Linked DNA regions of Caenorhabditis elegans. The protein of the gene in region 1 interacts with the protein of each later gene in a pairwise test. Each region holds a gene or a part of one and is shown on either strand. Other genes may lie near its edges.

Region 1 (5,814 bases):
GTGTAAAACACATTTTGATGCACCATGGAAATAGTTCTTATATGCGCCTCAAAAATATTGTCGGAAAAATATGAAATCTTGGAAAAGGTTTATAAAACGCAAACGTGGGACCCTGGTATTTTGTACGGTATTTCCATGGTAATTTCGCAAATTTTTTAATGGTTGTAGAAAGGAGAAATAGATATTTAAAAAATAAGCCTTTTGCCGATTTAACTAATAGTAAAAACAACTCGGTGAATGCCAAAGTTGGAGAAATCGAGAAAATTCAAAAAATTAGTTTTATTATATAGTTTTGCAAAATGAAATCTTTGGGGAAAAGTTTTCCGATTCGAAAACTGATGCAAATTTTTTTCAAGTTTTTAATAAAAAAGATCTCGAATTTTCAAAATATTTCCAAACGTCATATGCCACAAACATTGTAATGCAGTCGAAAATAAAATTTAGGTACACCGACAAAATCCAGATTATGAAAATGTTGAAAAATCAATAATTATTAAAATACTCAAAGAAAAGTTATATATTTTTAAAATTCAAACAATAGATAATTCAAAAAAAATTGCCAAATCATTGGAAATTTTCGGCAATTTTTTTTTCAAAAATATATGTACAACTACTAGAAAAAGTAACGTGATTAAAAGTGTAGAAAGAAGAAATACCATGAAAGCGGGGAAGTTCCAGGACCTCCACCACCATTAGTTTTCGCATTTCGTTTAAAAAAATCGAAAATCCTGATAGGAAAAGGGAAATGCTTATGAGAAGAGAAATTCGAGGAGGGAGATGGAAAGTGAAGAAATTGCTGGAGAAAGTAAAAACAGAAATGAAAGTGACACTGAACAACACGAGACACACTTACTGTCCCGGATAACGATCCAATCGACCAGGAACCTTTTTTTTTGACAACACATTTGTTGGAAGAGTTTTTAAAACTTTAAATTTATTAAATAAAATTCAACGACACAACCAGGTGTGCGCGGCAATCAGAAATGTTCGGCAATTTTCAAAACTAGTTATATTTCGGAAATTGAAAAAAAAATGTCACCTTGTATTTTAGTATTCGGTTTGTCATTTTCGAAAACAAAACTGTCAATCCTTACAATTAGATTAAATCATTTTGAGCTTGAAAAGAGATAATTGTTCAGTAAAATGCGTGTTTAGGCTCTTACATCTATAAAAAGTTTCAAACTTACAGTTCGGGCAATTCTGATTTTCGTAAATCGGCAATTTCAGCAATTGCCGAAAATTCGTTTACCGTACGGCAATTGACACGTACCCCTGGGCATAACAATAGTTTTCTTTGCCAAAAAAATTGATTTTTTTTGAATATTTTGAAATAAAAAACATGGTATTTACACAAAGTTTTGTGCGGAAAATTTGCCTCATTTGCCGTTTGACGATCTTGGCAAATTTGCCAAATTTGCCAAATTTGCCGGGCACGGCGTTCAATTTTGAGCAAAACAATAGATTTTGTTCCCAAAGTTTAGTAAAATAACATAAAATGCACGGCAAATTTGCCAATTTCGCCCTGCTCGGCCAATTTTCAGATTTGCCCCACATGCCTGCTGTAAACACTAGGCTAATACATAGTAAGGTTGACAAGTTAAATGACAAGCAATCCGCACATCTTGGTTTTTTTGAGTTTCTAAATCCAAAGTGTCCGATTATAAACTAAAAAGCCAATGAATGGGAGCAGCCTATTTTGAGAAAAACACAGGATTTGCTGTATACAGTTATTACGGGAACAATAAATCATGAGAATGCGTATGTGGAGCATTTTATTTGTCATATCTCTTAGCGAAGACTACAGTAAGAACTTAAATAACAATAGTTATTTGAGTTCTTACTGTAGTTTTCGCTAAGTGATATCGATATAAAAAAATAAAATGCTCCACGTACGCATTCTCATGATTTATTGTTCTCGTAATAGTACCGCAGATTTGAGCGGAGCCTGTTTTCAGATTTAAAAAAAGCTTGCTAACGATACCTTTTTACAATTCACTCAGTTAGAGATAAGAAAAGAACTCGTCCATATTTATATTGGTTCTTGAAAAGCCAAGACACTGGCGAAGTTTATTTACAGGAAAAACGTCTGTAAAATTTTTTTAAAGCTTATTTTTATCGATTTTCAAAGTATTTTTGCTACAAATCAATTTACTCAAAAATGAAAGAAATGCAAGAAAAAACAGTGCTATATAAAACTATGGGGAAAAAGTCAGTAAGCACTCTTGATTGGGGGAGTCATCACTGCTCTTTCTCTGCGTCTCTTATTGACCATCTGCCTCTCTTTTTCTCTCCCTCTCAGTTTTTGACCGAAAATAGCGGTGGTGATGATAAGAGACGTAGGCATCCAGAGAGAACTGTACATACGTCACCACGCGGTTTTCAACTTTTTTTTGTTACTTTTATATCTCTGACGGAATTCGTGTAGGCGGCTGGGCAATTTCTAGAAAATTCACGCAACAAAAAAACGACTGACATTTCAGCAAAGAGACTTCATGGAAAGTTAGTTCGGGGGCCTCTGATTTGTGGAAGTAAATATATTGATATAAAACTAGAGTTTGCTGAAAACGTGAAAGTTTGACTTCAAAATTGAAAGAGCCCTCTAAAAATCCACGCGGCAGCCTTGTATGAGGGACTCCGTCAAAATTCCACAAACTTGCATCCCCGGAGTTTGTTTGCCATAAAATCACAAAGCTTTTGAGGCTGAGACATAATATTTAAAATTCTAATAAACTTTAGAGATATAAAGTGGTCCCCCCACTGTAAATACGATTAAAAACTTCACGAATCATTGTCTTTCGAATTCACGTATCAAAAACTATGCTTTGTTAAAAAAATGAATAAAAATCATATTTATCCAATAAAAAGACGAATTCTCCAGTGTTGTTCTTCGAGAAGCATCACTTCATTTCTCCGCAGTCAGCAATGACGCACGGAGCCGACGGTGCCCCATCTTCGGATCCTTTCGACTCGATCGCCTTCACCACATCCATTCCTTCGATCACTTTGCCGAAAACCACGTGTTTTCCGTCTAGCCACGTGGTTTTGACTGTGCACAGGAAGAATTGCGAGCCGTTTGTGTTCGCCCCACAGTTTGCCTGAAAAATCAATAGTCAATTCCAGAGCGCATAAAATTTCAGAAAGCCCGATATTCACAAAAATTTCAAAGAAAATTTGATCAAATATCGACAATAACAGAAAAATCGATAACTTGAGTAAATATAATATCGATTTTTTAGTTTTTCAGAATCTTCACCATCGACAAGACTCCGGGTCCGGTATGCTTCTCCTTGAAGTTCTCGTCGTCAAACTTCTCGCCATGAATCGATTCTCCGCCGGTGCCGTTTCCCTCCGTAAAATCGCCGCCCTGGATCATAAACTCGGGGATGATGCGATGAAATTTGGATCCTTTAAAGTGCAACTTCTTGCCCGATTTCCCTTTTCCTTTCTCGCCGGTGCACAGAGCGCGGAAGTTTTCCGCTGTCTTCGGCACGATGTCGTTGTAGAGCTGCAACGACAGGTTTTAAAAATCTTTAGTTTATTGATTTTTAAATGTTGCCAAAATCTAGTAACTTCCTGAAAAGTCGAAAAACTGGCAAATTTCTGCAAGACCATTGAAAAAGATTTTACAATCATCCTAAAAACCGATAACAGAACGACAAAAATCGATAAATGGCAACAAAAAATTATATCGATTTTCTCAATTTATACTCATTAAAGTGCAAACTGACATACCACTAGCGCCTACAGTAATCATATTTGCTCCGAGAACCTAACGCTGCCCCCCTTACCTCCATAACGATGCGTCCTCCCTTCTTTCCGCCAATCGTGATATCGAAGAACACTTTGACACGTGGCATCGCTGATCGATTCTTTTCGCAGTAATAAATTTAAAACTACCGACGTTCAAATTTTCCATTATGACTTGCCACGTGCCGTAAGAGTGTCGTGGATCAAAGTTCAAGTTCAAAAACGTGAAAATTTAAATGAAACAAAATTGGAATTTTGGGAAGGATAATTGTCTACTTTATCGTAATCATAGAGATTCCGGAGAAAAAATAGTTGCTTGAGGAGGGAGGATAGAACACAAAAAAAAGACAAATATAGTACATATACATTTTCAAGGAGAGGCTACGGACTGGTTGGTTTTATAGGCAAATAGCCGTTTGTCGGGAGTAACAGAGAATTTCCCGCGATTTTCAGTTTTTGAGGGCTCCAAAAGTATAAAAATAGGTATTCCAATAAACAGTTTGATGATTCCCCGTTGCGCAGCTCCAGCAAAAAATGATATAAAATATGTAAGATGAGGGGCGAGGGGATTTACTTTCAGTACAGTTCAATTTGGAAAAAAAGCAATCATTGTTAGAAAATCTTGAAAAATAAAATTATAGTGGGGATTTTGAATGGCATGTTTCAGAGTCATTTACACAGTGTAAATTTTAAATTTTAGTTTTTTGCCTCTCAGGGAAAAAACACGCAAATAGGGGGAGAGAATTAGGCCAAATATTGATACTCGTCATTTTGATCGGTTCGCTGAATATACATTTTCTCGATAAGGTCCTCAATGCTCTTTTTGATGAATGGTACGTCGGGCGAGAAGCGGCCTTTCGTTTGGTCCATTATCTGCAAGAAAATGTTGTTTTCCGCATTTTTGATGTGGAATAGCACATTTTGCAAAAAGATTTTTTTCGCTTTTTTTTGGGGGGTTCCGGACCAAAAACTGTTTCTAAAATTGTTTGTTTTTCTTTTTTGGAGGAAAATCCACTTTTTGATTTTCAGTTTCTTGGTTCAAAATTCAAACAAAAATATTTTTGTAAAGCATTTTCAGTCGGTTGAATATCTCGTTTTACAGGGTTTTGACCAACAACAAAAATCTAACAAACCTCAGTGACAAGTGCATTGTGTTTCAGAACCTTCCTGGTCTTCATAATTCTGACAATTGCGCACTCCATATAGTACTTTCGGTCTTGTGAAACCTGGAACTAATATTGACGATTGCGAGGCACACGTGTTTGGATAATCTAGCTGCATCGAGGCGGGGCCTAACTAAATACGTCTAGTCTCTCAGAATTCTAGGCCACAGTTTATAGCTTTGATTTAGGCTCATTGGCTCAAAAAGGGAGCAGATAAATTGTTTAATTGATTGAATTGACTCAAAGTTTCCACAAAAGACCAAATTTCATAGTGAGACATTTAAAAAAATTTTACGAAGGTTTAAAATTTCGAAAAAACACCTAAACTCTTTATTAAAGATTTTTCAGCATTTGAGATTTTAGTTGAGCTTGGCTTGTTTTAATTTCCACCGTCATAAAAATGCTGAGAATTTTTCAAGGTGTCTCATTTTAAAACTTGGTTTTTGAGATCGTTTAAAAATTTTTAAAGTCTAGGACTAAATAAAATACAGATTTTTAGTGCTTGAACTCAAAAAGTCATAACTTGAGGCCCTCGCCAATGAAAAACAAACTGAAAACCCTACAGTATTCGCGACGGCCTCCTGCTCCTTCTCGACAGCCTTATTCACTTGTGGCGCCTGAAGCCGGAACTTCATCCGTTTCGACGTCATCGACATGTTCAGACGAACCAACGAGTCGGCCGTTAGATTCTGATCATCACACGTCAGCAGGGTAACGTCCAAAATCGTTCGAATCGTCTTTAGCAGATAGTCACCGCTCACACCAATCTCCTCTCCGATGTCCTTAACGAGGATAGCATCGCGACGTTCAAAGCAAAGCAGCGCTGCCATCTGATAGACATACATCTGTGCGACATACTGCTTATCGAGGTATGTAAGCCTGACATCTCCCTGTGACATATTGA
Region 2 (6,806 bases), on another chromosome or scaffold:
CCAAGGCGATCGATTTGCTGTCGAGATATGCGAGATTTGCCGACGAGAATCCACATACGGCGAAAATTCCCGATTTTGAGCTCGAAAATCCCATGGAATACCTTAAAGGTAGAGAGATGATCTACTGAAAATCGTGAAAATTTGGAAAAAAAATCGATTTTTTCAACACAAGCCCAACTTATTCCTGAAATAACTGAAAAACACAGGATTTTTGCCGAAATTCCCCAATATTTTGTCCGAGAGGAGTACACGGTGGCCTGGAAAACTTGATGACGTCATATTTTAAACATTTACTCGATTTTTTCCAGAAAAAACCTGAAAAAACAGGATTTTTCGATTTTTGCTGAAGTTCCTCAATATTTTGTCCGAGAGGAGTACACGGTGGCCTAGAAAACTTGATGACGCCATATTTTAAAAATTTACTCGATTTTTTTCCAGAAAAAAACTGGTTTTTCTCGATTTTTGCCGAAATTCTTCAAGATTTTGTCCGAGAGGAGTACAAAATTCATATTAAGTAGCGGAAATTAATTTTCCAAGAAAAAACTATTTAATTTTCTTTTAAAAATTCATTTTTGTCGGTTTTTCCCTGAAAACTCTAAAATTCAGCAAAATTTTGTCCGAGAGGAGTCAAAATTCATATTTTTCAAAATTAAACCACTTTTTCAGTTTAAGAATCATTTTTTTCCTCGAAAGTACTAAAAAGTATATTTAAAACTCTGAAATTCGGCAAAAATCCCAATTTTTTCCTGCCAAAAAGCCCTAAAATTCTGAAATTTTGCGTATTCTGAGATTTTTAATCGAAAAAGTCCAATTCACATCAATTTTTAGAAAATTTACACGCTTTTTTCAGAAAAAAATTGGAAAAAAAATTTAAAATTCCAAGAATTGTCCGAGAGGAGAAGTTACTTACAAAAAGTTACTTTTTCCAGTTGAAGAAGCGTTTTTTTCACTTTCAAAATCCTAAAAAAAAAGTATATAAAACTTTAAAATTGTGTCCGAGAGGACTTCAAAAGTGGTGGCCTAGAAAACCCAATTTTCTCTTCCAGCTTCATGCAAATCAGTCGACGACTACGAGGATCTCATCGAGGACATCAAAACGTACAGAGAAGTCGACGGATGGGCCAAAAACGAGACTTGGTGGATGGATGTTACACGAATCGCCGAAGACGAGATTCAGAAGAAGGCCGCACAGAATCGAGGTGATGTGCATGCGAGTGTGCAGACAGAAGTTCAGAATATGTTCAAGGTAGAGTGCCTGAAAATGCTGAAAAATTAACTTGAAACTTTAAAAATCCTCCGGCAAAAAGCCCAAAAATTGACCCTATTTTCCGCACAATATTTAAATTTTATTCAAATTTCAATCCCTATTCCGAGTTCTCTTCCTCAACCGCCGGCTCCTCTTCCTCCGCGATCGTCGGAATCTCATCGGCACGGCACGCCACAAAACGTGGAAGCTCATCCGGCGTCGGCTCCCGCTCGAAATCCATATTCTCCTCGTGATCCGTCACACCTCCGAGCTCCTTGTAGATTTGCTCCGTGAGCCCTGCCAACTTGACATATTCCTCCTCCTCGACAACCGAGTATTCCTTGGCGATAACCACTTCGGCAATCTTGTGGAACACCTCTGGAAGCTCCGCGAATTCCTTGCTCTTCTGGAACTCGGCCTTCTTGACTCCAGCCTCTTCGCGGCTCAGACTTCCCCATGGGAGCTCGCCGAGCACCAGGTGAACCAGCTGGTAGAACCATGTCTCGAGATCCTGCCGGGCGCCAACAAGACCATCGTCACTGCACGGAGCATAATCCAAGCAGCCAGCGTAGCTAGCAATCGGAGCTCCATCATCACCAGAAATGTTCTTGACCAAAGACGAGATGTCCGCCATGAAGAGGTGACGGCTTGCCGCATCGTAGTGGAAGCTGTTGAGATCCATGTTGCGGACGAGGTAGCCATGCTTGTGAGCACATCGGATCACCTAAAAATGAGCAGTTTATCAAGAATTTCTACAAAGTTCCGTGAAATTGACAGAAATTCTGGAGATTTCAAGCAAAATAAGCTGAAATTGAGGCTTCCATGGTAGGCAGGCGCCTGCCTGAGATCGCCATGAAGCCAGGCAGGTAGGCAGGCGTTCCAGCGCCAACACGGGAGCTCAAGCTCCGCCAGAAGCCTAGACAGCCCGTTCAAGCTTCAGAGCGATTCCAGCTAGGACCTCCAGGAGCCAACTAACATTGAGCACATCCTCGGCCAAGCGTCCAGCCGTCCCAAGCGTGAACTTGTTCCGCATCGCAAAGCACTGCTCCAACGTCGGTCCACCACGGAAGTACAGCGACATGTGCCACGCGTCGTCGGTCAGAAAGATCTTGTGAACTTGCGAGAAGAGCCGCCAGTCCTGAAGCTCGGCTTCCACCTTGCACAGGAATGCCGCCTCGGCACGAACCACATGAGTCAGCGCGTCGATCGGTGCGACGCGGACGACGAGCTCTTTTCCGTCGGCGCTGAGCCCGAGGAACGTTCCGCCGACCTTGTCGTCGTAGCCGATTCGTTCGAAGATCTGGAAATTGTGGTTTAATTTTTGGAAAATTGGGAAAATCGATGAATTTCTGAGTTTTTTTTTCACTTTTCCAAAGACTAGCAGTTTTGCGGAAAATCGCTAAAATTTCCGGCAAATCGGTAATTTGCCGAAAATCACAATTTTCCGGCAAATCGGCAAATTTCTGGAATGAAAAATTTCCGGCAAATCACCAAACCGGCAGTTTGCCGAAAATCACAATTTTCCGGCAGATCGGTAAATTTCCGGAATTGAAAATTTCCGGCAAATCACCAAACCGGCAGTTTGTCGAAAATCAAAATTTTCCGGCAGATCGGTAAATTTCCGGAATTGAAAATTTCCGGCAAATCACCAAACCGGCAGTTTGTCGAAAATCAAAATTTTCCGGCAAATCGGCAAATTGCCGGAATTGAAAGTTTCGGGCAAATCACTAAACCGGCAGTTTGCCGAAAATCACAAATTTCCGGCAAATCGGCAAATTGCCGGAATTGAAAATTTCCGGCAAATCGGCAAAAAAATTTGCCGGACGGCAATCGCCGCCCACCCCTAATCGACAGTGCCAAAAACTGCATTTTTTGGTGATTTTTTCGCTAAAAAAAAGTCCGGACAAAGACGGGAAGCCTGAGTTAAGAAGCCCAAGCCCAGCCACAACCTTCGCTGCGTGGCCGGGAAAGAGAAAACTCGGCCACCGAATTGTTCGCGGCCACGTGGCAAATGTGCTTGAAAAACGACGAAAACCTGAGAATTTTGCGGGAAATTCCTGGGTTTTTCACAAGATTTTCGAGTCATTCCTTACCTGAACTTGCCCGTCGACCACATGATCCGGCTGGTAGCACGGGATCCCGTTGATCAGCTCGTACTCGACGTTGTGCTCCTCGAAGAGCTCCGATTTTTGAGCAGCTGACGGCGGTGGAAGAGCCGGTCCGATGGCTTCTTGCTCAAGCTCCTGATGCTGCTCCATTGTGTCCATTTTTCGTCGAATTTGCCTCTTGTTGAACGTTTTGAGTGAAAACAATTTCTCAAACTGATTCGAATAGTCGAGAATTTCTGAAGGGACGTGGTTTTTTTTTTTGGAAAAAAATGGTCACGTTTGTGAAAAATTGACAAAACAATGAAAATTAAATTTAAAAAAAAAACAATTATTTTTGCTGATTTTAACGGAAAAATCTGGAATTCAAGCGATTTTACTGATTTCCAGCCAAGTTTTTGAAAAAAGAGCTGAAAATTTCCTATTTTGCTCACTTTTCAAAAAAGAAAAAAGTACAAAACCACATTTGCCGAACATTTTCGGCAAATTCGGCAAACCAATTTGCCGGAAATTTCAATTCCGCCAATTTACCAGTTTGCCGGAAGTTTCAATTCCGGCATTTCATCAATTTGCCGGTATTTTCCATTCCGCCAACTTGCCGATTTGCGGGAAATTTCAATTCCGGCATTTCATCAATTTGCCGGTATTTTCCATTCAGCCAACTGGCCGATTTGCCGGAAATTTCAATTCCGGCATTTTACCAATTTGCCGGAATTTTCGATTCCGCCATTTTACCAATTTGGCAGAAATTTCAATTCCGGCATTGTACCAATTTGCCAGAAGTTTCCATTCCGGCAATTCATCAATTTGCCGGAAATTTCAATTCCGCCAATTTACCAATTTGCCGGAATTTTCAATTCCGGCATTTTACCAATTTGCCGGAATTTTCGATTCCGGCATTTTACCAATTTGCCGGAAATTTCAATTCCGGCATTTTACCAATTTGCCGGAAATTTCAATTCCGGCATTTTACCAATTTGCCAGAAATTTCAATTCCGGCATTTTACCAATTTGCCGGAAATTTCAATTCCGGCATTTTGCCGGTTTGCCGAGTTGCCGGAAAACTTGTTTGCCGCCCACCCAAAAAATCCAAAAAAAGTACAGATTTCGAGGAAAAAAACCAAAAAAATTCAAGCTAAGAGCATGATTTTTGTCAGTTTTGTCAATTTCATTGAAAAATCAAAAAAAAAACATTTTGAAACGGCTTTTATAACTTATTTTCAGTAATTTTTTGCGGAAAATTGTCTTTTTTATCGCAATTTGAGCCGAAAACTCTGAAAAAAAAAACTCAATTTTCCCCCGAATTTTTCCAGAACAAATCAATCGATGAGCTGCTCAAACTGGAAGACCAAATGGACGCAAAAATCCGCGGAAACAGTGGAAACAAGGGTTACTGGCAGGATTTGGACGATCAGCTGAAGGTTTTTATCGCGCGGAAGCGACTCCGCGAGCATCACGGCCGTGTGCTCCGGCTCCAGTTGGCAATAATTAAGGAAGAGCAGAAAAAGGAGATTCAGCAGCAGGAGTCGGAAGAGCTCCTCCCGGTGGCTGAAGTTCCACCACAAGTGAAAATTCAGAAGGAAGAGGAAGAAGAGGAGGAGGAGGATGAGGATGATGAGAAAATATCGAAGAAAGTTCGGAGAAAGATCGATGTGCAGACGCTTGATGATCCGGAGCTCGATGAGCCGGAGAGGGAGAGAAAATGGAGAGCACTGACGGGAGATCAGTTGGATGACGTCACTCGGGAGTTGTACAGAATTGGATGTTATAGGTTTAGCATTTTTTTTTTGGCAGAAAAACCGTAAATTTTGCAAAAAAATTTCACAAAAATTGGTTTTTATTCACTGAATTTCACTGCAACTTTTTCCTCACGAGGGACGAAGAAAAGTGGTTTCTAGGCCATGGCCGAGGGGCCGACAAGTTTCAGCGGCCATTTATCTTGCTTTGTTTTCCACGTGTTTTTTTCGTTTTTTCTTAATAAAACAGATAAATAAATATTTTTTGCAGATGCTAAAACAATTTCCAAGTGAAAAAATTATGTATTCAGTGGGCAAGCAGCGGTGAAAGTGGTCAATGTAAAATGATGGATTACGGGAATACAAAACCTAAACTTTTTCTGAAACATGATACATATGATGCTTAGATGCTGAAATTACCTGATTTTCATAACGAGATCGCTGAAAAAGTTTTGAGGTTTTCAAAATTCAACTTTTTGTGCGAAAATCTCGACTTTTTCACCAAAAAAGTTGAATTTTGGAAACCTCAAAACTTTTTCAGCGGTCTCGTTATGAAAATCAGGTAGTCTCAGCATTTAAGCAGCATATGTATCATGTTTCAGAAAAAGTTTAGGTTTTGTATTCCCGTAATCCATCATATTACAATGCCCACTTTCACCGCTGCTTGCCCACTAAATACATGATTTTTTACTTGGAAATTGTTTTAGCATTTGCAAAAAATATTTATTTATCAGTTTTATTAAGAAAAAACGAAAAAAATCGATGAAAAACGAAAGAAAACAGGCGGAAAACAAAGCAACATAAATGGCCGCTGAAACTTGTCGGCCCCTCGGCCATGGCCTAGAAACCACTTTTCCTCGTCCCTCGTGAGGAAAAAGTTGCAGTGATAATGTGATTTTTTTGGCATGAAAGAAATCTCCAAAAAATCAATTTTTCAGTCCTACCTACATCAGCGCCGACGACACAATGCCCGGAATCGAGATCCTGGATGAGCAGGCCGACGTGGATAATCTAACAGAACGTCGTAACAGGAATCGTGGAACACTTCCATCATCCTCCGCCGCTTCGTCAGGAGCTCCACAAGGAGCATCATCGAAAATGATGGCAATAGCTCGTGAAGGGATGGAAGCCGATGAATCGATATTCGGAGCCGAAGAGCAACTGGCGGCTCAGCGACACCTCTGGTCGGATAAATATCGCCCACGCAAACCGACATATTTGAATCGTGTCCAGACTGGATTCGACTGGAATAAATACAATCAGACGCATTATGATCAGGATAATCCGCCGCCGAAGATTGTACAGGGATACAAGTTTAATGTACGGAGAAACTTTGGAAAAAAGCCTAAAAAAGCTTGAAAACTTGAAAAATAGCTTGAAAGTTTGGAAAAAGGCTTAAAAATTTGAACTGAGCTTAAACGTTTGGAAATAAGCTTGAAAACTTAGATATAAGCTTGAAAATTTAGATATAACCTGGAAAATTTAAAAATAAGCTTAAACTTCTAAAATTAGCTTGAAAATTTGAAAATAAGCCAAAAAATTCGGAAATAAGCCAAAAAATTTGAAACTAAGCTTGGAAATTTAAAATAAGCCAAAAAATTTGAAACTAAGCTTGGAAATTTAAAAATAATCTTGAAAATTTGAAAATAAGCCAAAAAATTTGAAACTAAGCTTGGAAATTTAAAATAAACTTGAAAATTTGAAAATAAGCTCAAAAAT

The links.
Region 2: the proteins of cyn-2 (region 1) and K09E4.1 interact in a two-hybrid assay, tested with the Caenorhabditis elegans proteins (one large-scale study listed by BioGRID).

Annotation. Positions count from the first base shown.
Region 1 is NC_003281.10:13,690,775-13,696,588, reverse strand, and holds cyn-2 (Peptidyl-prolyl cis-trans isomerase 2), read right to left. Parts: upstream 3,922-5,814; 5' UTR 3,858-3,921; coding exon 3,789-3,857; intron 3,506-3,788; coding exon 3,254-3,505; intron 3,096-3,253; coding exon 2,898-3,095; 3' UTR 2,778-2,897; downstream 1-2,777. Other genes in the region: cul-2 (Cullin-2), read right to left, coding at 4,492-4,620, 4,881-4,973, 5,474-5,814. UniProt on the Caenorhabditis elegans protein: PPIases accelerate the folding of proteins. It catalyzes the cis-trans isomerization of proline imidic peptide bonds in oligopeptides.
Region 2 is NC_003280.10:14,134,593-14,141,398, reverse strand, and holds K09E4.1 (Protein kinase domain-containing protein), read right to left. Parts: upstream 3,562-6,806; 5' UTR 3,514-3,561; coding exon 3,340-3,513; intron 2,547-3,339; coding exon 2,223-2,546; intron 1,971-2,222; coding exon 1,365-1,970; 3' UTR 1,329-1,364; downstream 1-1,328. Other genes in the region: cacn-1 (Splicing factor Cactin), read left to right, coding at 1-108, 1,047-1,246, 4,665-5,122, 6,026-6,407.